Linked DNA regions of Drosophila melanogaster. The protein of the gene in region 1 interacts with the protein of each later gene in a pairwise test. Each region holds a gene or a part of one and is shown on either strand. Other genes may lie near its edges.

The links. The genes of interacting proteins can lie anywhere in the genome.
Region 2: the proteins of CG8292 (region 1) and Ama interact in a two-hybrid assay, tested with the Drosophila melanogaster proteins (one large-scale study listed by BioGRID).
Region 3: the proteins of CG8292 (region 1) and Jon25Biii interact in a two-hybrid assay, tested with the Drosophila melanogaster proteins (one large-scale study listed by BioGRID).

The regions. Positions count from the first base shown.
Region 1 is NT_033779.5:8,213,708-8,219,564, reverse strand, and holds CG8292 (uncharacterized protein), read left to right. Parts: upstream 1-1,547; 5' UTR 1,548-1,665; coding exon 1,666-1,878; intron 1,879-1,940; coding exon 1,941-2,591; 3' UTR 2,592-2,714; downstream 2,715-5,857. Other genes in the region: Snx6 (sorting nexin 6), read left to right, coding at 1-203, 267-449, 694-711, 886-995, 1,061-1,154; CG8349 (uncharacterized protein), read right to left, coding at 2,726-3,162, 3,222-3,579; CG8353 (uncharacterized protein), read right to left, coding at 4,451-4,893, 5,078-5,147; CG8360 (uncharacterized protein), read right to left, coding at 5,565-5,784.
Region 2 is NT_033777.3:6,759,854-6,768,150, forward strand, and holds Ama (amalgam), read left to right. Parts: upstream 1-2,739; 5' UTR 2,740-3,126; coding exon 3,127-3,143; intron 3,144-3,326; exon of another isoform or gene 3,327-3,663; intron 3,664-3,979; coding exon 3,980-4,988; 3' UTR 4,989-5,408; downstream 5,409-8,297.
Region 3 is NT_033779.5:4,947,052-4,953,568, reverse strand, and holds Jon25Biii (jonah 25Biii), read left to right. Parts: upstream 1-2,801; 5' UTR 2,802-2,820; coding exon 2,821-3,597; 3' UTR 3,598-3,628; downstream 3,629-6,517. Other genes in the region: Jon25Bii (jonah 25Bii), read left to right, coding at 455-1,285; jet (jetlag), read left to right, coding at 3,896-4,671, 4,798-4,981; betaggt-I (beta subunit of type I geranylgeranyl transferase), read right to left, coding at 5,736-6,517.

The sequences.
Region 1 (5,857 bases):
AGAACGAGCTGCAGTTCCTTACCGAGTACCACGGCCACTTGCGCGAGGCAGCACTCAGGACGGAGAAAATGACGCAACGCCACAAGGATGTAGGCGACTCGCATCAGAAGATTTCGAATGCGTTGACGCAGCTCTCGACTACGGAAAAGGGAAATGTGGAGACGTTTGTGGCCAAGACAGCGGAGATATTTGAAAGGATCAAGGTGCGCTACGCTGCGTTTTCGCTATAATTATATTTTATAAATTTTCCTCTTGATATTTTAAAGAATCTGGAAACCCGAGTGGCTAGCGATCAAGATCTCAAGCTGGGCGACACTCTGCGCTACTATCAGCGGGATAGCGACGCTGCCAAAGCTCTACTTATCCGGCGACTGCGGTGTTTGGCTGCTTATGAAGCGGCCAATCGAAACCTGGAGAAGGCTCGCTCCAAAAACAAGGATGTTCATGCGGTAAGATTGAGGGATGATCACAACTAGTTCTTCCAGAACTATGTTTCAGATCGTTTAAAGAGCAATTGTTTTCCCTACAAAAAGTTTCCAGCGGGTCAATTAATTCTCACGCTTCACTAATTACAAATAACAAATTATTTGCGTTCTTGTATTTTATTGCTACCGTACACAACCTCACAACTCTCTGATCTGCCTGTCCCTCCCTCTTCACTTTTTGTGCGTGTTTGTGGTTCTGTTTCTGCAGCCGTTGGAGGTGCAAGAGGTATTTGGCATTTAACGTTTTAACCGTCGGTTTAGTAGATGTGTCGCCACCCCACGTAAATGCTGCATGCGCTCCACCGTTGCTCAATCTGTTGTATTCACTTTAGCATGCCCTTGCTGTGGCCCACTTGTTGTGTTCCCTGTATATAATCGTTTTTGTTTATCCTCCAATTAGGCCGAGACTGCCCAGGCGGAGGCCTGTGAAAAATTCGAATCTATGTCTGCATGTGGAAAGGAGGAGTTGATCGGTTTCCGCAACCGACGGGTAGCTGCTTTCAAGAAGAGGTGAGTCAGCAGCTGCTAAACATTTTGCTATGCTCTGCATTTTATTATCGCTTTTCTAAACACAGCCTCGTCGAGCTCTCAGAGCTGGAGATCAAGCATGCCAAGACGCAGTATGAATATCTGCGCCAATCACTGCTAGCGCTCAAAGAGATTGCCTGAGACGGGGAGCCGGAAGTAGACAAGGAATAGAAGGATGAGTCACCCGCACATTGTTTACACACCCCATTGAAACGCAAGCCTCATCGATTACACACATCCGGGAGACGAAGTAAATCAATTGTTTAATTGCTAAGCAAACAGTTTATTATTGCACAGGCCAAATCGAGTGCAACATTATTATCTTAGCCCACGTATTATATTAACGAATATTCATTTGTTTTGTGAACAGAGCGCTTTTATATTTGTCAAACAAGCATTCCTCTCTACAGCATAAACTACAACTACATATATTGTAAACACTTGCATTTGAAGCAGAATATAAACGAGAAATATTGTACAGAAGGCTGGCTGTTTGTGAGCAGTCAGTATACTAGCATTGTTTGGAGTCTATTCGGTAACTGGGCAACATCAAGGGTTTCCAAATTAAGCGTCTCAAGGGGTGCACATTTCCATTGTCGCTGAAAATTGTGTTTGTTGTCAGTGTTAGATAGATTTTCAAAGTCCATAAGCCATGGATGAGTTCGGCGTCTTCGATTACAAGCGCCCTGCCAGCGCTACAGATCCCGATTGGAGGACCTCGTACTATCGAGGGCATCGCCACATTACAGACTTGAGAATGGGTAACAAGCTGAACGCCAAGTTTACGGATAAGGGTATTTATGTAAAAGATCCGCTGCTGTCCGAGAAGCCGACTTCTGAGTGCATGGCCAACTATGTGTGGCAGGTGAGTTGATTGATATGCTGAGATATGTTGCACCAAACTAAAACGTGACCATGATGTTCCAGTATAACGATCCCAACGCACTTAGAAATCCCTCGCTCAACATGAAAACACAGTATATGAAACCATTTGAGGAGGGTTCCCTTCGCTTTGTAAAGCGAAAGATGAAGCCCATTTCTAGTGTCAGTCATGAGTCGTATGTACTTAAGGAGCTGCCGGAGGAACAGGAAATATTGCCTGTAACAATGCCCACTCCGGTGGTAGCCACCAAGCTAGTCATCGACCGTTCGGAGGCGTCCTTTAGCAAGTACCTTGATCCCTCCTCCACCACATACAATCTGTCGTATGTGCGCTGGGGTCCCGAGGACTTGTGTGGCGGAGTAGCTGCCCACGACAATATTACATACTGGAATTGGACGGAGAAGATGCCGCCCATCCAGAAAGTGTCCCGCGAAGAGGATCCTACAATGTGTGACGAGGGTAATACGCATAATTGCCCAAAGCGACGCTGTGAGTTTCAAAACCTCACCAAACGAGTGCCGCATTCGGGAATGGTCACCGAGGTGCGCGCTAATTTCACGGATCCACAATTTCGAAGGGTTGAATTCGATCCAGAAGTTAAGCCCATACTCGTGCACGAGGAAGTCACTCCGTTTGCGGAGAAAAGCGAATACGGCATCTACGGATCGGGAGAACCAGTTATCAAATACGTTTAGTTCTCTACACATTGTTTTGACTTTTTGTCAAGTTAATCAGATCGCTAACTTAAATTATTTGCAATACTTATTGACATTAGAACGAATAATTTTATTGCATTAAATAAATTCTGGATATTATTTAGATGAAAATTTCATTCAAATGAGTTAAAGCTGTGGGGAAGCAGATGGTAGGCGGACGTGACCAGCACTTCAGCTTCGTCCGGAATTGAAGGAATGCAGTTCTCTTGCTCCGGCGGCGGAGCCTTGGCAATGTAGATAGGAATATCATTTTGGATGAACTCCAAAATGAACTGCCGGCAGACTCCGCAAGGTGTGGTAAACCCATCTGGGTGATAGGCTACCACAGCACCCGCCGTATACTTCTTCTCGCCCTCGCTGATACCCTTGGCCAGGGCACAACGCTCCGCACAATTGCCTGGAGTGAAAGCTACGTTCTCGATGTTGCAGCCCGCGTAGATCCTGCCGCACTTCGCACGGAAGGCTGCTCCCACTTTGAATTTGCTGTAGGGCGCATAGGCACATCGACGGGCAGAAAGAGCCGCCTCTAGCAGCTCCCGGCCATCCTCACCTGGAGATTACGGTTTGATTACCAATGGCAGAGGATTCACCATTATAGCCAAGCCTTACCAACAGCACAGAACGCTACTGTGTACTCCTCCAACATCTGTGGATGTGGCAGGTTTTCGGATTCACTAGCCCGACCCCTGTCGCCATTTAGACGCGCCTCCCTGCGTGCTAGCTCGCATAGAAATCCCTCCAAGGTCATCATATACTTTCCCAGTACCTTTCGAAGATTCTTCTGGCGCAAGTTCTTGATCTTACCGCCAGCGCACTTGGTGCCAGATTGCTCCTGGCGACGAGCTAGCTTCGCCTGCAACATTTCCAGTTCCTTCATCTTCTTCTCCAGCTCTTTTCGCTTCAGCTCATCCTGTAGGTCGCTCAGGTTCCGCATGTAGCGCTGAAGGAGCTTCCGCTTTTCGGACATTTTGCAGAACTTCAAATTTTTAAAACGAAAACAATTTTTGAAAGCCAGAAGCAAATGCTGTATCTGTTGGCAATTTGTAAAACACTAATGTCAAACAAATTATTTTCTTTTTGTTTCTTTTTCATAAAAATGATTATATTATATTATTTAGCGCCATTTGAATTTTTATTACATTTATTACAGTTGATGTTCATTAAGGCATTTAATGAAACAACAACAACAACTAAATACGTTTAAAATTTTTACAAATTAAGAATGTCGAAAAAGCTCGCGCGTTTTCGACGCGTTTCGGACGCGTTTTGAACGCGCCTTTATCGCGACATCGGTCTAGCCAGTCTGTCTTATTGTTCGTATGAACATCATGATCTCAAAAACTAGAATCCAAAGGAATTGGAAACAAACCTTATAAATTTGATTTAAAAGATTGCCACTACCACAATGATCTTTCTTATTTTCGCTACTATACAAATGGCGAAATTTAATCTCACAATAATTTGGTGTTTATGAATCAGAAGTTGAGTGCATTTATCACGTCATCACAAATCGGGGCATTCCCTGCATTGCGCTTAACGTCAGCAGTTGTCAATCCAAATTCGATATCTTTAATTTATAACCTTAATTTTGATATATAATCAAAAGCGATTAAACACCTTTTCCTAGAATCTTTCACTGTGTCAATCTTTCCAGCATTTATATCCCCATTTCCTATTCATTGATCGAAAAAAAAACATTAAACACTGCTAAGTAGTGTAATTTTCTTTATTGCAAGTGATTAGATCAAAATTATATTGATTAGAGGCAGCAAGGGGTTGAGAAACAACCTTTACCTAGCTACCTTCTGCCTATTTTCGGTTCTTGCCTGCAGTGGTCGTTACTTTCGATAGGTGTGAAAACTGCTCGGCAACAGATTAAAGATTGAGGTGCACATGACGGGATCGTCACTCTGCAAAAGTTCCTGCTTTTCAGCAATCCTCGCATCGATCGCCTGGGCCACATATATGGGTATATCCGCGTTGGCAAACTCGCGTATAAACTGACGACAAACGCCGCAAGGAGTGGTGAATACATTAGGTTCGTAGGCCAAAACAGCACCTGCCAAAAATTCGGTGGCTCCTTCGCTTACGGCCTTAGCAATGGCCGTTCTCTCGGCACAAGAGCCCGGCGTAAAGGCGGCGTTTTCCACATTGCAGCCAGTGAAGATCTTTCCATCGACCTTGGCCCGAAAAGCAGCCCCAACTTTGAAGCCACTATATGGAACGTATGCCCGCTGGCGCACTTGAAAAGCAGCTGTCAGAAGTTCTTGAACCGACGGATCTGGAAGTCGAAACAATGCACGCCACGCTCAAGAATTAAACTTAGATCTTGTCAATGAGTGTAAGGAGTATTAATTTATAACATTATTATTTTTAATATCATAAGAACCACTTTGAATAATTGACAGTCGTAGATATTTAAGGATTGTTCTCAGATTGTTCTCAATCTCGAGAAGGAATCTTACCCAGACTGCCGAAGGTCACAACCTCCTCATTCTTTTCTGGACGTGCGAAATTTTTTGTCAGATGTGTCATTATAGTTCAATTCTTTTGGTCAATAGAGGCACGCCTATTTTCTTAAATTTTGAATTATTTTTAGCAAGTTGAGTGCGTGTGTTTCTCCTTTGAACGTCCGATGGCAAATGGACGGTTTGTGGTGACGGCGGCGCCCGAAGTTGGCTATGCTGATAGCACTCTCCGCCGTGTAGTGGTGACAGAAATAAACATTTGGCCAATTCGGAGCGCGAGAGAGAACCAGGTATCAGGCTGATAAGCAACGATCGCGATCGCGGAGAGCAGTGAAAAACACAAACAGATGCCGTATCTCGTATAAGCTATTCAATCAACAAATAACGAGGGGTGGGTTTACAGAACATTATAAATGGGATGTCACATAAACTATTGCACATGGATTGCACCCTGTCCGGCTGGGCTGGGCTGGGATATTCTTTTCTATTTTCCGTTGGCGAAGCTAAAGCCGTTGGGCAGCAGTTGGAGAACGCTGGTGCAGAGCACCCTCAATGGAAGATTGGTCGGCTTGGCGGCGTACAGGGGGATGTCCTTGCCGTTGACGAACTCCGAGAGGAACTGCCGGCAGACGCCACAAGGCGTGGTGAAGCCATTATCCTGCTGGGCCACCACTGCACAAGCCACAAAGTCGCGTTTGCCTTCACTGTAAAAATGTGTTATTTTAGTTATTCGAAAGGACTTGGAGAGGATAATTAAGTATGTAAGAATTTAAGTAA
Region 2 (8,297 bases), on another chromosome or scaffold:
TTAAACTCTTTGCTCTGTTTGGAACTTCATAATATTAACATTTAATTAACAAACAGGCACCCCAAATTTAGGAATCAATTAGACAAGTGTCGAATGTTTAATTTGAATTTTTGTTAATATTATAATATTAATATGCTCCAGTCCAGTCCAGCCTGAATTGAACAAAATGTGCACTTTGTAGTTTATTCTGTTACATACTTCCGCTATTAATAACTACATTATTCAATCTTAGTATCGCGAGATATATAAGGACTTGGGACAAAGAATAAGGATGGTGGAGATCGAGTTTGTTTTTCCAAATGATCTCAAACGGCTACGTACGAAAGAAAATATCATATAATCGTTTTGTAAGACAGCATATAGTGCTTGCTATATGTACCTGTTAGGCAGTGCATTATAAAATGTATTAGAAGAATAAAAGGTAACCAGTTGTCGAGTTAATTAGCTGTAGCGTTCGATTCTTTTGTTAATTTTTTTTAAGTTGTTCTACTCATTTCTGATGTTAAGCTAGGATTGGCAATTATTATTTTCAGGCTCCATATTTGGAAAATTCGATATGTTTAGCGTTGAAGAATATTGTGTAAATATCTACAAGCATTAAGTTGCTCAGTGCATTGGCCCAAGCTTTAACATTTTAAAACACACCCAACGAGCCAGTTGACCTTTAAGCAAGTGTCGCAAGGCCTTAAGTGAAATATTTTTTAATGACATTTGCCAAATAATTGTCGTGTTTGCTTTTGGGATCTGGCAGGAGCTTGTTGCTGTTGGCCGGGCTTTGCTGCTTCTGCCGCTGCCAACTGGCAACAAAAGTCAATTCACAGACACTCCAGTCGACGGAGTCGGAGTGCAGCCAAAAGGCAAACAAAATACGTTCGCATAGGCAAAGCCCAAGGATACACACAAAGGTACAGTGGTTGCTCTGACTACAAATACAAATTAAACAGGGCCAGAGCTTTAATACCAATTCGATACCATTGCAACAACAGCATTTCAAATGCTACTTTTTTATATCAGATAAAGATAGGTAGAAAAGGCTATATTTACGTTAAAGGCAAGCTGATATTTTAGAAATTTATTCAAAAACAAAATTAATTACTTTGACACATAATATTGTATTTAGTCATCTGACTAGAAACTAGAAATCTCTGAATGTAACGAAGTTCTGTGCATTCTTACAAATATTACAAAAAGTATCTGCTAGATACCACTGTGCGGAACTGGGCCACAAATTCAGACGCAGTGTGTGACAAAGGACTTCTCCCTTCCCCGCTCGGCGACCCTGAATGCTGAATGCCCCCGTGTGTGCCGCTGCTGAAGCGAAACACCCAAAGAGTCACTGACAGAAACAGGATTCGGGTAATAAATTACAAAATTTGACATTTTCTGTTTTGGATCCGCTTGCGCCTGAATGCGAGCGGCAGCCCTCTCTGTCGCACGCCGTCTAGCCGTCTCTTTCGTTCGGTTTCGGTGTGTGTCCAGTTCGGTCGGGCCAAGTCGAGCGTTGCATGAAGCAGCCGGACCTGCCAGGACCTGGACCAGGACCTGAACCTGCATCCAAGAGGCATCGCCGCAATGGTCATAATGACGCTGCCGGGATGCAGCTGAGGACAAGGAGAGCCGTCAGTGGGCAGCGAGAAAGGGACGGAATAGAAGCGCCCTATGCGGTCCGTTGATAGTTAACTGGAAATTTATTATTTTACACAATTTACAATTATCTGATTCGAATGTGCACTCAGCGACGAGGATTCCGGCAGATGGGCAGTACGAGTGAGAGTGCGGGGGTCCAAGTTCGGACGACAGATGCAGTTGTCCTCCCATGGGAACGGCCTCATTTCAGCAGAAGTCACCGAAACGATTTAAGATGTGATTTAATTTTCCAGAAACTGTGGCCATAGTTTCGTCGCTCTTCGGGGGAATTTCTTCGCCAGACAGACAGCGTCGTCATCAATCATCTCGCAGAGTAAAGCCGGGTTAACCTCGATGGGTTTTAGGGGGAAACTTGGCCCGGGGCTGATCAGGAATCAGGCTGGAAATATGAAAATTAAATGCGTTTGGGCAGCAGAAAGTTTTCGAATGGTTCGGTGCTTATACAACAAGTGAAATTTTGCACATCAAACGGCCTTTGACCACATTTAATCCTTAAATCATCTGCCATAGGAACTAATTGATCGAGATCCAGACACATATTAAACACATCAATATATATACACAAATATAATCAATATAGACTATGTTATATTTCGACGTTTCCTATCCTCGTATGCTGTGAGTACACATATTAACCTTCAGCCGTGTAAAGAAATTTCTACGAACAGCCAAGTTAAAGGTACCCAAATTTCCCGAATACTGCTCTTTAAATATCCTTCAGAATTTCCCAGCATGGCTGAACCAGGACTCGATTCAAGTTCCACCCAATGCCTTGTACACCACCCCGTTGTTTTTGCCTTTTCGCGCATGCGCCCCTGCTCCGGCGCAAAAGAGACAGCACTAATGAGACGGCGCTGGGATCGCTGGCATTTCCAGAGCGGCTAGGATATTCCAGGGACCGCTCGTAATCGTTGCTGTTGTTGTTAGCCGCCAGCGGAAAGTAGTGCGCCATGCCATAAATCACACAAATGGGTAGAGTTCCAACTTTCCCACCCCGCCGCTGCTCCTTTTATTGTCCTTCCACGAACCCCGAAACGTTTATGGCCAAATGGCGGCACGAATTTGAATTTGAATTTCGCACGCGGTCTCTCAGTTCGCCTGCGGCCGCTTTCGCTGGCGCTTTGTTTTTGCAACTGACCGCTTATCTTGGGGCGGGGGCTGTCAAGTGGGCGGGGCAGGAGGGCCACAGGCAGAGGCATAAACAACAGCAGCGAGCAGCAAAACAAATCAATTAAAGACCAGAAGGAAAGTGCATTGATAACTGAGCCCGAAGTCAAACTCACGCACAAGTAAACAATTTAAATACGAACTAAAATGCAAACACAGATACAAAATACAGATAGAGATACTGAACAAACACAGATACAAATACTGTGAAGGCGACAATGTACATAACCGAGGGGTGATAAGATCCAAAACGTCGATGACTTCTTCATCGGCAAATACACTGAAAAAAGCTGTTACTAATTATTAAAAAATATGCAATATAATAAAAGGTAAACTATTTTTTTTACTAAATTTTAAACTATTTACTAAACACTGCCATTTAAAATCTTTTTTCACATCCTTAACTACAAAAAAATTAATTTTAAATCAAATTGATTTCGTTTACCTGGCTATTCATTAAAAAAAAAAATAAGTATTGATATATCGGAAAACTAAGTTATCTCCGTTTTTACCAGTGTATCCATTAAGAAGCAACGTTGTCTAGACACAGCCGCGGTAATCAATCATAATGGTGTCTATCTGCTTCATTCTCGCGGTGTACAAATTTCGGGACTTTCCTTGAGAAACCGAGCCATCGACGTCGGCGCGTCAGGAAGAATACAAAAATAAGAACCCGATTCTCAGAACCTCAGCAGAGATACGGATTTTTGAGCCGAGCTCGGTCGCCTCTTTCAATTCAGTCGAGTCCCGAACGCGAAGTGAAGCGCATTGAACCCACATTGAACTGAGAGATAGTCGAGGAAAAAGAGTCACAAAATCAACAGCAACATCCTGTAAATAAACAGAAATGTATGAATTATATTAAAATAAGACGATAAAGCTGAAAAGTGTGTACAAGCCTTATAAATGTTTCAAAACGAGTGTGTGTGCAGAATTCTTTCCTTCTTATTTACTTTTGAAAGATACTTTTAAAGATATACTTGTGACCTTTAAATTATTATTCTATAATTGAACCTAGTTTTAGTTTATTATATTGAATTCGAAGATGGGTTAAAAATGGCAGTTCTCCATTACATACGAAATATTTAGAATGGCTAACGCGATCAAAAGACTCAACATAAAGTGATACACTAATAAATCTCAAATCTATTTTGATTTCTTACAGACCAGACATGGCGCGTCTGCGGCTTCTAATCGGTCTTATATTCTGCCTTGCGATCAGCTTGGATTCGGTGCTTAGTGCCCCAGTGATCAGCCAGATCAGCAAGGACGTGGTGGCCAGTGTGGGCGACTCTGTGGAGTTCAACTGCACCGTGGAGGAGGTGGGACAGCTCTCGGTGAGCTGGGCCAAGCGTCCCAGCGAGTCGGACACCAACTCGGTGGTGCTCTCCATGCGGAATATCCTCAGTCTGCCCGACCAGCGGTACAACGTAACGGTCACCGAAGGACCCAAGACCGGAAGTGCCATTTACACCTTCCGCATTCAGAACATCGAAGTCAGTGACATGGGTCCGTACGAGTGTCAGGTGCTTGTTTCGGCCACGGAGAAGGTGACCAAGAAGCTGAGCCTGCAGATCAAGACCCCGCCGGTGATTGCGGAGAACACCCCCAAGAGCACCCTGGTGACAGAGGGACAGAATCTGGAGCTGACCTGCCATGCCAATGGCTTTCCCAAGCCTACGATCTCCTGGGCCCGCGAGCATAATGCAGTGATGCCTGCCGGTGGCCATTTGCTGGCCGAACCAACTCTCCGGATTCGTTCCGTGCACCGGATGGATCGCGGCGGCTACTACTGCATCGCGCAGAACGGAGAGGGCCAGCCGGACAAGAGGTTGATCCGGGTCGAAGTGGAGTTCCGTCCGCAGATTGCCGTCCAGAGGCCCAAGATCGCCCAAATGGTGTCCCATTCCGCGGAGCTGGAGTGCTCCGTGCAGGGCTACCCGGCTCCGACTGTAGTTTGGCACAAGAATGGCGTGCCCCTGCAGTCTAGCCGGCACCACGAGGTGGCCAACACCGCCTCCTCCTCGGGAACCACAACCTCTGTGCTGCGCATCGATAGCGTGGGCGAGGAGGACTTTGGGGACTACTACTGCAATGCCACCAATAAGCTGGGACACGCCGATGCGCGACTGCATCTCTTCCAGACCGTCATCCCAGTGCCCTCCTTGTCGTAATAAGCCCTCAACGTCTGATTTCCATTCCCACGCAACAAGACTGGAACCCTCACTTTCTCCTCTCGTCTCGCTTTTTCGGCAATTCGCCAGTCCGGATGCGGTCTGTGTTTATATTATTAATGATTCATTCAATTAGCTCCCATTCAGACTTCATTATTTTCGGACACACTTGAGATCGAGCCACCGCTTGTGCCTTATGAATTTTGCTCTGCATCCGTCGGCTTGTGCAAACACACATTAATATGCTTAAGTAAATAACGTTCTCTGATAAAGTTTAATCGGTCTTTTCCTATGTGGTTGGGTTGGCTTGTATACGGTGTAAGTTAAATACCATGAGAGAATAAACACCTCTTGAAGCAACGAATTAAAGGGTTTGTCATTCAATAAAACTAAGCCAGGAGACAAGGCATTGTCAAAAGTATTTCATTGTTTTATCGAGAGGGAATCTAAAAATATATGGTAAGTGCAGATATAAATGAAAAATTAATCACTTCTAAACAACACCCAATGCTCCATGGATCTTATTAATTTATAACAATAAACAATTCAAACTTTACACTTTAAAAGCCACAGTTTCGTTAGAATGATGGCTAGAACATCCAAATCTTTTAAAAATCCATTAACTTTTTTGGATGCCACTTTCCAAACCCTAAATAACAGATCTTTCAAGATCTTCTTCCTTAAAGCTGCCATCTGAGTCCGCAAGGTCCCACCTTGACACCAAAAACAGCATGTAACCTCCATTCTGAGCTGGTATTCCAACGGTTAACGCTGCCGAAGTCATTTGCCAAAAAGTTAACCGAGCCCGCTCAAAGTGCCACAGCGTTTAACTCTTCAATCATGGTTAAAAAATGGCAGTCAGTTGTTCACCTCTTGACGTAAACACTCACATGGTCAAAATGCGGAGTGGGTTGTGTGGCGAAAAGTGAACCCGAATGTAAGTTGTTCATTGTAATTGAGAAAAATGCGAGGCATTTGTAAGGCGGTCCAACGAGCTGGGTCTGCCACTGGTACATGAACTATTCGGGAGCTTGTGCGGGGATCCAGTCCAGAGTGCCCAAAGGACTCCATTATGGCCGGAGCACATTAGTTTAACTAAATCCCCAACCCGGCTCATCGCTCACTAAAATCAACACTTGCTAATGACTTAATTGTTTCCATTAGAAACCCGTTGCTGGAATACATTTGGCAAATTTTTCATCCTCGCTCCTGGCTCCTTTTTTCACATGTCCTGCTGGCTTCCCTTCCTGCGGACACCCCTCGAAATGAATCCTGGCTAAATGTCTGTCTTTATTGTAATTGGTATTGTTGCTGCTACTCGCACGCATTCGAGCCTGAAGTCCAGGGACAACACGTGCGTCCTCGTCTGAAACTCCCAGCCCCGCATCCGACCTCCCATTCCGTCGTCCTTTGGCCAGGACATCATTTCATTGTCTGCCGGGGCCGGAGGTTGAGGCCTCTGCGGCAGGAGCAGAGCAACATGGACGTCGACGTGACTTTTATTGATTTTCGGACCAAAACCTCCCCTGAGAGAGAGTCGGCAAAAGTCGATTGGAACGCCAGACGTGAGACTCTGGCCAGTTTAGGGGTGGAAATCGGGTTTTTCCTTGCCGCCACCCTGCCGCAGAAAATGGCAACAGTAAGGCCTGGCTAAGGAGCCCGACAAAGGCTTCAAAGAGAGCCCACTTCAGTTCCACCTCCACCAGAGAATTCCAGCCTGATGGAGGCGGATGTGAAGCCAGAGTTAACGCCTGCGCAGTTCCGTCAAATGGTTACCTTAGGACCAGTGATGACATCCTAGAAGCTTTTCGGCATCCTCTGACCTTAAAATACTATAAAGATATTGATAAAATATAATGTTATAAGCGAAATAAAATATATTATAATATATATATATATATATATATACATATATATATATTCTAATATAATTATAATATTATTATAATATATATAATAATTATTATTATAATTATAATAATATAATAATAAATAATTAGAAAACCTTGTTAGAAAGAAACCATTTATTAAAAATGTTGTCGAACTTTTTAAACTTACGAACCTACACATATTCAGCAAATAAAACTAAAAGAATGTCATCACTGCTTCCGACTTGCACTTTTATTGGATGCTGTTACTGGAACCTGGAATCAGAATCCGCCGACAATCTCTGGATTCCAAAACGAACCGCCTCCACAGACGGACGGTCATTCGGCTGGGATCTTTTGGCCAGGATGCAGTGGCCCAGATTCCGCGGCTCCAGCGCCCATTTTCCAACTGTTTCCACATCCTCAACGACGAACGCGGTTGTAAACAAAGGCCGTGGTGTTGGTTTTACGAGTTGATGATGGCTGGTGATGATGATGCTCGGCTCTGTGACTCAAGGAGCTGTCATCGCAATAAAACGCGGGCAGCGGCACGTGAAATTCGATTGGGTGAGTATCTCGTTGAAGATTTGACAAAGCCACCAAATTGTTTGCTGAAGTGAAATAAGATTTTGGTGTTTTAAGACTGTGTTTATAGTGGGGAGTGCTTGAAAAATATCATAAAATGTTTGCTAATTTGAAAAAATTTGATCAGCCATTGACTTGGATTAGAAGAACTCCAAATCATTTATGAAAAAGTTAGTTTGAGTTGAGTGAATATCGACTACATTGTCAAGTACAGGCTTTTTGGCAACTGTGTATTTGGCATGTCGCCAGAAATGCAAGCCTTAAATGTATCTGGTAATTTGCCAAGAACGAGTTATGTGATCCATTCTGTTCTTGGCTTATCTGTAAAAACCATTTACTTTGATGAATAACTACTATTGCTTCATGTTTTAAATTGTTAATATAAGCTACCTACACACTTGGTAGCATAATCAAAATCCTTCTCGGTAAATCATTAAAGTTAAGTCCATTTAGCTTTTAAATATTTATCAAACTTTCGGATTAGTTACTTGATTAGAATTCTCAGGTTTCACACGTTTTGAGTTCCACCCTAGCAGAACTATATACCTAGACACTAAACAATTTCAGACCTATCATAATTAAAATATTTATATCCGTAAAGGGAATCTCTAGATTCGATGAACGTGTTAAACAGTATCGAAAGTAGTTTCATCTATTATGCACGCGACGATAATCACTAGCCGAGTCTCCCTACCATTTCCGTCTATCCCTTTTAATTATGGGAGTTATCAGCACAAGGACGAGATGTTAAAATACTTACAGATCCCTCAAAAGAAATTCGTATAATGTTTTGACATTTTCTCTATATTCCAAAATATGTCTTTTATAAAAATCCACTCATGGTAATAAAATTAAT
Region 3 (6,517 bases), 3.3 Mb from region 1:
CTGTAATACTACTTTTGAATGACCACAGGACGTGTGCCCTAATCTCTGTGCGCTCCTGTTCGAGTGTTCCATTGAGTTGTGGCTCTGGGCATGAATGGGGGCTTATTGGCACCTATCTTAAGATCAGCTCCGAGTGGCCGCACGTCCATGTTGATAGGGTCGGACAATCTTCTAATGAATGAGTGGCAGTGGGCAATCGTCAGATTGAGTGGTGGCAAGTCATGAGCCGGAAAGTGTCCAAATCGGATGGGTAGATCATTGGAGTACCCTGTAATGATAGTGCCGCATTTTGGAGGCGTGCGAAATTAATTTGATAAGATTAGTCCGACCGGAGTGTTTAGAACTTTCGAGTGGCGAATGGTGAAGATCTCTAGCGATATGAATACGTCGGATTTGGGGGGTATATAAATCACTGCCCGTCGGCGGAGTATCCACTTGCACTCAAGTAATCAACATGAAGCTGTTCCTAACTGTCCTGGCCGTGGCCATTGCCTGCGCCGCCGCCCAGCCTGAGAAGGTGAAGCCGGTGCCCCTAAAGGACGCCGTCCTGGGATCCGGATCCGGCTCGATCGAGGGTCGCATTACCAACGGCTATCCCGCCTACGAGGGCAAGGTGCCCTACATCGTGGGTCTGGGCTTCAGCAGCGACAGCGGTGGCTGGTGGTGCGGTGGCTCGATCATCGGTCACACCTGGGTGATCACGGCTGCCCACTGCACCCACGGAGCTCACTCCGTCACCATCTACTACGGTGCTCTGTGGCGCCTCCAGGCTCAGTACACCCACACCGTGGGCAGCGGCCACTTCCGCCAGCACTCGGACTACAACACCAACAACCTGAACAACGACATCTCGCTGATCAACACCCCGCACGTGGACTTCTGGCACCTGATCAACAAGGTGGAGCTGCCCGATGGCAACGAGCGCCACGACAGCTTTGCCGGCTGGTGGGCTCTAGCCTCCGGATGGGGCAGGCCTTGCGATAGCTGTGGCGTCTCCGACTACCTGAACTGCGTGGACTCCCAGATCATCACCCGCGACGAGTGCTCCAGCGTCTATGGAACCGATGTGATCACCGACAACGTCATCTGCACCTCCACCCCCGGCGGCAAGTCCACCTGCGCCGGCGACTCTGGCGGCCCACTGGTCCTCCACGACCGCTCCAAGCTGGTCGGTGTCACCTCCTTTGTGGCCGCCAGCGGCTGCACCTCGGGCCTGCCCGATGGCTTCACCCGCGTCACCAGCTACCTGGACTGGATCCGCGACCACACTGGCATCTCCTACTAATTTCGTTCTCGAAATAAACCCTTCTGCATTTAATAGATAATTGTTTTTTAATTCGATAGTTTAAATTTAAGGAATGGGGAAACTAAAATGGATTATCTTAAGGATCAAGATACTTGATTTTGTATGGTTTAGATTGATTTTCGATATCTTCATAGAATGTTTTCATAGAATACGAATGATATGGTTTCCAATTTATTATTATTTATGATTAAATGTTAAGCCTCATATTTAAATTAAATCAGAAAGATAAGTAGTGTTATAAGTTATAAAGAATTGCGTATTTCATTTGTTGTTAGTGCCAGTCTAGTTTATTTCTCTTACTATCTCAGTTTTCTATCAATTGATTTGGAGGGATTTGTTTATTTTTCAGACCTACCTTCGATAAGATTAAAGGGTTTACGCATGTGGCTAAAATCTCCATTTTGTTTAACTTGTTTATAATAAATAAAATTTTCCTTCATTTAAATAATGATAATTTATATTTCAGTTTTTCTTAGAATATTAAATACAGATGTATATTTTGTTTCTGTTTTATTTTGGATATATTTTTGTAAGTATTAAAACGATTGGATAGTTTAGAAACTTTAAGCAAAAGCTATATATAATAGCAAGCAAATAATAATTTACAGATTTGTACTAGATTTAATCTTATCTTCAATGACAGCTAACTTTTTTAGTAATTTTGACAATTTTGCTGTAAAGAAGTTCAATCAGCATTTTTATGAAAATAACACACAAGTTTTTAACATTTTTCCAACACCTATTTTATTATCACTTTCAAACATTTGTTTACACTTGAACAATAATTGTAAACTATTTTATTTTTAAGCACTTGTAATTCTTGTTATCAAAAACCTGTGAGTATATAGGGTTATCATACACTTGTGCATCAAGTTTTGGTTTGTTGTTGTTCTTATTAATTGTCTATTAAATTAATAATAGTCGAGAATCCTTCAGCCTAACTTGGCAACAGTTAGTAATAGATTTGAAAACAAGCGGAAAACCTCCAGCCATTATTACAGATTATCCTTATCAGGACAAAAAGCAGACATACATTTTATGTAAAAGTTAACAAACAACTTTATTGAAAATCATTCCTGTCCAAAGATCATTGTAAATTTTAAGTTCTGAAAAATGATGATAAGATAGAATGGTCTGCGCAAAGGTTGACAAATATATATTTTATAATTATGAATAAAACTACAAACATATTTGATTAGCCACAAAATATTATTCCATTTAGATAGATAATAATTTGGCTGTTTATTGCTGCATACTTAATATATGGTAAATAATAAAATAATATAATATATATAAATATATATAGTCTAGTGGGGGGGGTCTAGTCCCCCCTAGAGTTTCTTTGATTTCTACTACTGGCTTGGTAGAGTGGTTCCTCCATTCTTATCGATGACATCGTTTATGGGAGTCTTGAGGATTATTTACGAGCCCTTTTCGAGTTGCAGATATGGTTTTAGCTGAAAATGTGTATAAAAGGCTGCCATCCGAGAGTAGAATCCAGTATAAACATCAGCATGAAGGTGTTCCTAGCTATCCTGGCTCTGGCCGTGGCTTCGGCCTCCGCCTTCGACGAGAAGGTCTTCGTAAAGGACCTGCCCAAGGCCACCAAGATTGAGGGTCGTATCACCAACGGATACGCCGCCCCCGAGGGTAAGGCTCCCTACACTGTGGGTCTTGGCTTCAGCGGAGGCTGGTGGTGCGGTGGCTCCATCATCGCCCACGACTGGGTCCTGACTGCCGAGCACTGCATCGGAGATGCCGCTTCCGTGATCGTTTACTTCGGTGCCACCTGGCGCACCAACGCCCAGTTCACCCACACCGTTGGCAACGGCAACTTCATCAAGCATTCCAACGCTGATATCGCCCTGATCCGCATCCCCCACGTCGACTTCTGGCACATGGTGAACAAGGTGGAGCTCCCCAGCTACAACGACCGTTACAACAACTACAACGAATGGTGGGCCGTCGCTTGCGGATGGGGTGGCACCTACGACGGCAGCCCACTGCCCGACTGGCTGCAGTGCGTCGATCTCCAGATCGTCCACAACGAAGAGTGCGGCTGGACCTACGGCAGCGTTGGCGACAACGTCATCTGCACCCGCACCGTCGACGGCAAGTCCATTTGCGGAGGTGACTCTGGCGGTCCCCTTGTCACACACGACGGCTCCAAGCTGGTGGGAGTTAGCAACTTCGTCTCCTCCAACGGCTGCCAGTCGGGTGCTCCTGCTGGATTCCAGCGCGTCACCTACCACTTGGACTGGATCCGTGACCACACTGGCATCTCTTACTAATTTTTCTAAATAAATCGATCATTTTAAAAGCAATACGTTTCGAGAGTATATAAATCGGGGTCACCAACAAAATGTATGTGTTCTACACTTGTTTTACGCAGTGTAAAACAAATTTTACTCGTGTGTAGAAACCACGGCGTAAGATTACACAAATAATTTTTGTAGCAGTTTTGTGTGAATGCCAAAGCAACAGCTGATTGCTATCAAGTAAACAATTAATTACGTTTTTGCCGTGCACCAAAGGATTGAGTTGGGAGTGCTTTGTTGGTGCGTAGATCACGTAACCGGAGGCGGCAGCATGTGCACTCTGCACCCCGAGGAGGAAGCTCACCTGATGGCCATGGCCAGCGGAGGACAACCAACGCGTACGGCCAGTCCAAGGCCATTGGTCACCGCCTCCATTGCAGCACCACGATCGCTGTTTGATGTCTGCTGGGACGATGTGCTCATCCCGCAGGTTGCCGTCTACCTGTCGCTCAAGGATCTCTTCAACCTGCGCTGCTGCTCCCGTACCGCACAACGCTTTGTGGAGGCTGCGCTGGAAAAAAGGCAGGAACTTCATCTCTCTGGGAACAACACAAAGAATATCGACGTGGCCTTTCGAGTGCTGGCCCGATGTTGCCAACGATTGGAGGTGCTTCATCTGGCCTGCTGCCGATGGCTAACAGATGAGCTGCTGCTGCCACTGCTGGCCAACAACAAGAAACGCCTGTGGGCCGTCAACCTGAACGAATGCGTCAACATCACGGCCCTTTCGCTGCAGCCGATCATAGTGGAGTGCAAGGAGCTGCGCGTACTCAAGCTGTCCAAGTGCCAGTGGCTGACCACGGGAGCAGTGGACGCTTTGACGCTGCACCAAAGCAAGCTGGTGGAGTTCGACATCTCCTATTGCGGCGCAATTGGAGAGCGCTGCTTGATTATCTTCTTCAGGAAACTTAACAAGCTCACCGTCCTGTCGCTGGCAAATACGCCCAGTGTCACCGATCAGGTGCTCATCCAAATCGGGAACTATTGCCGCGAACTGGAGCACATCAACGTGATCGGGTGTGCGGCTATCTCCGACTATGGCGTGCAGTAAGTAATACTCGTAGTTATCCCTAAAAGCTGTTGTCATATTGTCAGTAAACCTGTGCGTGCCTTGTGTCTGTGTGTTTCTGGGGAAACCAATCTCCATCTGCATCCGCATCTGCGTATTTTCAGCGCTTTGACAGTGCACTGTTTGCGGCTACGGACCTTGCTCATTCGACGTTGTCCGCGGGTCACAGAACTCTCCCTGGCGCCGCTCCGCCAGCGGCGTCTTTACATCGATAGGCCACAGCCGGATGTGGGGCTCAACGCTTACAACTTGAACGACTTCTATCCCAGCGATTTCCTTGTTTACTAGCCCACACTTCGTTCTCCCTCTTCCGCAGTGCCCTCACCTCCAGTTGCCCGCTGCTGCAGTCACTGATGGTGCAGCGCTGCCCATTGGTCACCGAGCGTGTGCTCGCCCCACTTCGTGGACGGGTCCACATCGATCGGCCCGGCATGGGCTACATGCCAACTGTGCAACATCACCGCCTGTTCCTGCAGGTTTGAGATTAATTCTGATTCCGGGCCAATATTACCAATGTACCAAGGAGGCTTTCGAGGCTATCCAATACTTTTGCTGTAAATACATGCCTCAGCATGGGACGCTTTAATTTACTTTTAAGCTTAATCTTACACATTGTTAACATTAATTTAGGCTGTACAATAAACATACTAACTTATTCATCTCTCTCTCCAAAAGCTCGAGCTTTTTGCATTAAAATACATGTAAACCAGAAAGTAAGCTAGAATCGGCAAGCCGAAACTTATATACCCTTGCAGTAATTATAACATTTATACCGATTAAAAACAACGACCCGTTCATGCAGATTGCTAAACTAAGAGACTATTTGGCATAGAAACTGACAGACGGACATGGCCGTATCGACTCCGCTGGTGATACTGATATATAGTTTATATGGTCGCAAATGCCTCATCCACTGCGCTACAAACTTTTCGATAAAATAAATATACTAACTGCAAGGGCATAAAAAGCGTGGCTAAAATGTGGCCAATATAAATACAATAGTGTGCTTTAACTTTCCCCTCGTGCTTTGTGCGGCTTCCCATCATTGTGCTGAAATTAATGGCGAGTTAGAGGTAGTTGTTGTGGATGTCGCCTCGACCCCCTTTGACAGGTGGAGTTGTTGCTTGAATGCAGAGCTTACACTAATATCCTCGTCGCCTCGGCCATCTGCGGACCGCCACTGCTCATGCAGATGCTGCAGGTGAGCGTAGGCGGCCATGGACATGTTCAGACTGGGATTCACGGGGCTTAGCCCAGGTTCACCCGTGAAAGCTAGTCCGCAGAGACCGAGGTATGTGTGAAACGGATCAGGCGTGGCTTGCGGCCACTTGGCAAAGCCCCCAATGAGCTTATCCTGTGTGCTCAGAATGAATTCTCGGTTCCGGGCATAATCGGTTAGTTCGAAGCCGTCCAGAATACATAGCGATGCACCAATCCAGAAGGAATAACAAGTATCCACTGGCTTATTGGGGCGTCCTTGGAATCCATCCATCTGGCGGAAAATGAGCCAACGCTTCATTCGCTCCACCGTCGTGGCATCCAGGCGATGCAGTTGTCCACTAAGATGCAACGCCGCCAAGGCACAGAATGTGGTGCCGCCATGGGCCTCCCCCTCCAGCTCTTGGCTGAAACCGTAATCGTATCGCAGGCTCCGAGTGATGAACTGAAACATGGTCTCCTTGTTGACATCGCCCCAGTAGTCCAGCATGTAGCATATGGTGGCGGCACAATAAACAAATCGCATATCATCCTCGCTGCCATCGATGCAGGCGCTAAAACTGCCCTCAGGCTTCTGAACAGCAGCCACTCCGTCCACAATGCTTT